Canis lupus familiaris: one gene and its partner. The protein of the gene in region 1 purifies or fractionates together with the protein of each later gene. This does not show direct contact. Links are inferred from orthologs where the notes say so. Each region holds a gene or a part of one and is shown on either strand. Other genes may lie near its edges.

Region 1 (3,657 bases):
AGGCACAGGGGTGACGGGGGCAAGGACAGGGCCCATCCCCTCATAAAACGTATACTCCGCCTTATCCGTACTAATGATTGTCCAGGAAGCTCCATCATTTATCATCTCTTTATTTGGTTCTTTTGGGCATGGAGTGGCCTTACAAAGAAAGAATGTTCAGAAAGGCAGTATTACATACACTGCAGGGTAAGACAATTCTAACAAGGTAGCACTCAAACACTGGACTTAACAGGGGAAGAGTTTGGTAAAAATTCATGAACATCCCAAACACGGTGCTTTGCCAGTCCTTAAACACAAACAGAATATTTAATACAGCAACCTCACATTCAGCAGCTTTTATTATAATATGAAATATTTTGGTGACATTATTAAAAATGACACCTTTCACAATGACCATTTGAGAGTACACCGGTACCTGAAAACATCAGTATTTGTGGTTTAAGTAGCTATTTAGAAGTCTTTACGGGGCCCTAAGAAAGAAACCAGGCGCCCCTGATGCTTAGAGGCAGTTAGAAACTCGTGCAATTTCAGCAGGAGGGAACCAAGATGTGAACTGGCACTCGCCTATCCCTACCTTAAAACACCCAGACCAGCCCATCAGCTCTGGCTGAGGAGAATGGCTGCATGTGGTCATCTCTCTGAAACAGGTCTTTAGATGTTTACAAATGAGTTTCACATCAAAGTATAATTATCCTATGCAATGGGATACCCATGTCATACACGAAAGACTTCTGAGTGAACACAGTAAAAAATGAGCTTTCGAAACATCTCATCATTACGATCTTGGAAGACCCCAATGTAAATCTAGTAATTATGAACCCTCCCCCAAAGTACACGTGTATCTATATATGATGTCTTCACACAGTTTCAGGAGATTCATTGAACAACCAAAATCTACTTTTGGATGATCTGAGGAAAACTTTTCGGTTCCCAGAACTGCAATTATTTCTACAAAAACATTGTTATAGTTTTGAGTTCTTCATTAAGTTAGGGTGACTGCCATATCTTAGGATCACGTAGGTTAAGAACCACTGGACTCGAGATAAATATGGGAGAACAGCTTTGTGTATTTGGGTACAAATAACATTAAATGAGAGTTTCCTGTTTCTGTATGCTGTTAAGCAAAGAGATGGCACATTTTTACCAATAATTTAAGAACATACCTGAAACTGGATTATTCTTTCTTGAGAAAGGCACAAGTACATTCTTTCTGTATCCTTAAGGTAAAATGCACATTTATGGAGTTGTGACACAGGATCATCTGCATCCAGTAATGCGGTCTGCTTATCAACCTTCCTAATTATCTATATTTCAATGATAAAGAAAAAAGTCATCACATATGGAGAGCTTTCATTATGTACACTGCCAGGAGTACAGAGAAAGAATATGCTATAATAATATATCGCAGTTCACAAAGACATTCACAAACAATGAGGTGAAGTGTAAAAAACACTTTCAGATCATAAACATAGTAGAATGTGGAAGCGGTTACCTTCTTCTGTAAACACCTGAAAAATAGGGCAGGCAGCTACTTGTTTTCCGGATCATTGCTTTTCAAACTCTGATGTGCATACAAATCTTCTGGGATCCTTGTTAAGAACATATCTGTTCTAATCCCACAGATCTCATGGGGGCCTAACAGTCTGTATCTCTAACAAATTGACAGCTGATATTAATCCTGCTGGCCAATAGACCATATTCTGTGTAGCAAGTTCAGTGGACTCTTCCAATAATATACAATGACATCAAAGGAAAACCTAACTCTAAAAGAATACTATGCGTATGCTAGTCAATGCAGTCCATTATCTATAGATCTGTTTTAAAAAATCTAAATTAAGTATCATTTTGCGGCTTAGGAAGCGGGCTCAAAATCACCTGGTTGGAAGCTGAAGGACCAGAGTGCGATTCCAGGGCTGGCTGGCTGCCTGCCCAGCCTGAGCTCTATTATATTTTATAATTCAAATATTTCACAAAAAGCACAGATGAAAGAGAATCCTATCAAGTCTGAGATGTCACTTAACCCATAGAAGGTAATCACTGAGTGTTTGATGATTATGAAGATCACTCTCAAGAGCACACAAACATGTTACAGAACTATTTCTCATCTAAAATCAAAAGTAAAGAAAATCCTTCCTTGACTACACATCCTTCTCCCTCCCTTTCTACTCCATTTCTTTGCTTATGGCAAACTCTCATCCTCACTGTCCAATCTCCTGAAGTTAACTTCAGCCTTTTGTCTCAAAGTCTCCACTATAATTGCCCTTGTGGAGAGCCACCCAGGACTTTGGGAGAGATGAATCCGTAGGTATCAGGAGACATCTGTCCTTAGCTTGCTAGCTTTCTCAGAAGCACTGACACAGCTGTCCTCCTTTTGGGGACAGCCGTGCTCTAACTGGCCTTCAGAGTACCCCAGGGCCAAGTCCTCAGACCCCTTCTCCTTCTTCCATCCTCTTTCCTTTCTGCACTACTTGGAGGTTGGCAAATCCTAAAGTTTTATCTCCAGCCCTAGGCTCTCTTCTCTGGCACTCATATATTTAGCTAGACTCAACAGTTCCACTTAAGATACTGAATAGGCTACCAAAGTCTTAATCAAAACACCAAATTTTAAAATTCCTCCTTTGCATGATCCTCTTCCAACTCACAGGTCGATAAGCAGCACCACCATTCACTCAATCTAAAAACCTCAAGTCACCCTCGACTCCTTGTTTTCTCTTACACCGAATCATCCAATCTATCAAAAAATTCTGTTAAGTCTCCTTTCAAATAAATCTGTCACCTCTTATCACCTTACCACTACAATACTGGTTTAAGATGCCACCACCAGCTCCTGCCTGAATTATGACAGAAGCCCAACCACTGTCTCTCTGCTCCCACTGCTATACCCCATGTTTTCCTCCTTTCACAGAGCAGCTGAAATTACCCTTCTAAACATAAACTAGCCACCAGGCCCTGTTTAAAACCCTCCGGTGGCCTCCTAGTATATGTAGATAATATCCCAATTCCTGCCACTTGTTCCCTCCATCCCTCTCCCCAGCTCGGGCTACCATGGCTTCATTACTAGTTCTCTCACATTCCCATCTCAAGTTCTTTTTGCACTTGTGCTGTTTGAAATGCTATTCACAGTCTGTGGTTCCCAACTTCATCCTGGTCTCTGCAAATATCCCCACTCCAAAGATTTCTCTGACCACTCGAAGGACTCCCCTCAGTCTGTATTCTCTTTATCCTGTTTTAGCTTTATTTTCTTATCACTTGTATTAACCTTTAATATTTTAATATGGGTGTTTCTTTAGCTGATTTTTGTCCATCTCTCTAACAAAATGTAAGCTCCATGAAGACAGAGAGCCTGTCTTGCTCACCAATATATTTCTGGTGTCTGGCACTGTCAGGACTATTTGCAGGATGCACGTATGAATGCAGGATGTAATACTTTGCTCCACAATGAACATCCTTAATAGTAACTACTCAGTTTTATAAGGATTAAATCAACATATGTAGAAGTACTTAGAACAGTACTATCAATATCATGTGAAATTGTTGGCTTTTATTACTTTAAATCTTAATATTCAAAGATTCTTCTTTAACTAAGCCACAATAGTAAAAAAAAAAAAAAAAAAAGGGTCCCAATCTTTTAAGTTAACATTCTTTGCATTTACAGTT
Region 2 (2,932 bases), on another chromosome or scaffold:
GTGCGTCCCTGATGTCCCAGGTACTGGTGGTCCCTCCCAGACCAGTTCCCCACGTGTCTGCTCTTCCCCTCCCAGAGGTGGAGGTACAGAACCAAAGATACGGCTACCAACTGGGCTCTTAATCCCAGTGCTTCCTGAAAGTGCATCAGGGCAGGGGGGCAGTGTGATGGGGACACAAAGAGGCCAAAGCCTGGCCTCCACCCAAATCTGGCAGGATCCTGGGATTTGGGGTGCAACTCCACCCAAGCAAAGGCTTGCTGTTTCTCATGACCTGACCCAGGAGGTGCAGGTGACAAGGAGCAGAGCCGGAGAGCAAGGTGCTCCTGGACTGCTTGTACCTCAGTCCTGAGTGCTCTCCAAATACATGTTAACTTTCTGGTCTTCCTGGGCTTCGCCACTTAGCCAAGTTCTCGTTACTCCGTCTTTCTGGAAAATGTGAAAAATGTATGAGGCCCATGTTGCTAAACCTCAGTTGTCAACTCCCAAACTCATGATTTCTGCCATTGCCTTATTATATATATATATATATATATTTTAACTTTGCTATTTAATTCAACCCAGGCCTATATTGGCCCTTGCCCTAAGGAAAATAAAATTAGTCAAAGTCATGGCTTTGATGAGCTACTGATATATTTTTAATATGTGGAAATAAATACAAGATTATTAAAATTTTTAAAAATGTCCACCCATGAGTCACCCAGATCCTCTGTTCCCCACAGGCCATACACTGTGCCTGGGAAAACTCCAGACTCAGCTGGAGACTCCTCCTGAGCAGGAAGCTTGGCATGAAGGAAGAAGGGACCCTCCTAGGTTGGCAAGCACACCATTTATTCACACAGGTGACAAGACAAGGTCGCAGGAGTGATGGGGGACTGGTGGGCACCCCTGGGTTGGCACGGCCTGTGGCTAGAGCAAGACTGGTACAGGCATCTCAAGGGGCAGCCGCCGAATCCGTCATTGGGTATAAGGTAGGGAGCAACCGGTGCTTAAGGAAGGCACTGCCTCCTCCCGCTATGTCTGCCCCCAGGAACGCTTTTCCAATGCTTCATGGTTACCTAGGAGACTCTGGTCTCTCTAGGGGCACCCTCAACCAGTGCCCTCCTCTGAAACCGTGCTCCGCACTGTGACCCCATGAGCAAGCTCGAGGAGGGGAGGACCAAGGAACTCATTTCCAAGGGGGCTTTGGTTTCTGGGTGGCCCCACCCCGTTGGGGGGCAGCTGGCACTGAATCACGAATGGAGCGGGCCCTAGGAGTCACTCGGGGGCTCTGGAAGGTCACCCCTGAGGGGGAAGGCCGGGAATCCCGAGGCCCATTGGTGTGGAGGGCGCTGGCGGGTTGGCGACCAGCGCTGGGGGCATTCAGGTGTGTGAGGGAATGGGAACGTTCCCGCCTCAGAGGGTGCGGAGAGTCCAACCCAGCCATAGACAGCTTCCGGGAGTCTGCTGCCACCTTGGGCTCTGCCTTCAAGGGACCAGCTGGGTGAATGGCTCGCAGCGGGGTCTCCCGGGAGCGGGATGAGTGGCTGCCCCTGGGGGTGGCTGGAGGTGTCCAGAAGAGGGCATGGAGTTTAGCAGCATCACCCTTTGCCATCCACGGGCCCTCCCAGCTAGTGCCCTCCGGTCGGGAGCCAAACAGTGACTCATCACAGTAAGAAGGAACGTGGCTGATCAATCTGGCAAAGGGAGGAGAAAGGCAGTGAGCTGGTGGAATGAACAAACCCTAAAAACCTGAAGCCCCCACCCCCTGCCAGGCACCCACAGTGAGGCCACAGCCCTCCAGTATGCCACTACTCCTATCTCTGTTGGTTTCCCCTGCCAAGAATCCAATCCCCTGCATCCTGACCTCCCCATTTTCCCAACAGATGCCCCAGGCCCGGCCAATTTGCATATTCCATCTTCCTGGCCACACTGATTGGCTTGAGAATGACCATATGACCCATCCTGTCCAAGGAGCACCTGCCTTAAGACCTTTGTTGAAACTACCAGGAAAGAGGTTTGTCTGCCATCTGGTCTTGATAATCCAGCAGGATATAAGGGCAAAGCAGCTGGTGGCTGGCTAGGGTGGAGTGGGGTGGGGGGGGCAAGCTGCCTTAAGAGGGAGATGGGATCCAACAATAGTTTGAGCCCCTCATAAAAGAGACCCAAACATCCTTTTTTTGCTGAAGCCAGTTTGGGTTAAGTTTTCTGCCACTTGCATCTAAGAGTCTGGGTTAATATAACCTTAATCTTTACAGTCTTTACTTTTTTCATACCCCACCCCCCAATTCTCCTTCTCCCTAGTGGTCTTGTCAGCTGAACCCTCTGCAGTCCTGTGGCCGGTCTCACTGTATTTGAAGTAACACAGCACAGTGCCTGGCACAGAGAGGGTGCTCAGTTTGAACTCCTATTATAAAGCTGACCTGGCCTCATCACCAGAGAAGCTTTTTACATTTTTGAATATTTACTGAGGGCTCTTCATATGCAGGCCCAGAACTCAGCATGTCACCGTGCATCATCTCATTACTTTTCACAAACATCCACAGAAGGGAGATATGATAATTCCATTTTACAAATGAGAAAAGGAGGCATAGGGAGGGGAAGGCCCCACAGCAAGAAAGAGGGTAAAGACAAGATTCAAATCCAGCCTGGCTCAAGGGCCCAAGCTCTGGGATCAGTATATCAGATATAAGGGACTTCTAGGCTTCTCACCTTTAATTAGATTCACTCACCAATTATTTTTTGTCTATTAATCTCACAAATATTCACGGCACACCTAGGAGGCATCAGCTCCATGCCTTGTAGTCATGACTGAAAGTGTTTCTGTGTTAAGACTGCAAGTCTTTGAAAAGTCAACTTTTTGCCATTTGATTTAATTGCTCAAACCGTATCTGCTTGTTGCCTATGTCTGCCTGGAGCCAAAGGCTTTACTTAAGAGCATCTCTCTCTCTTACGC

Evidence for each region.
Region 2: the proteins of RBPJ (region 1) and RITA1 purify together in Homo sapiens (affinity purification with mass spectrometry; 4 studies listed by BioGRID and IntAct, with this or other methods). This does not show direct contact. The link is inferred for Canis lupus familiaris from reciprocal best matches to the Homo sapiens genes RBPJ and RITA1.

Annotation. Positions count from the first base shown.
Region 1 is NC_049224.1:84,661,737-84,665,393, forward strand, and holds part of RBPJ (recombining binding protein suppressor of hairless), read right to left. Parts: intron 1,305-3,657; coding exon 1,164-1,304; intron 139-1,163; coding exon 1-138. UniProt on the Homo sapiens protein: Transcriptional regulator that plays a central role in Notch signaling, a signaling pathway involved in cell-cell communication that regulates a broad spectrum of cell-fate determinations.
Region 2 is NC_049247.1:10,901,015-10,903,946, reverse strand, and holds the end of RITA1 (RBPJ-interacting and tubulin-associated protein 1), read right to left. Parts: intron 1,674-2,932; coding exon 1,166-1,673; 3' UTR 613-1,165; downstream 1-612. UniProt on the Homo sapiens protein: Tubulin-binding protein that acts as a negative regulator of Notch signaling pathway.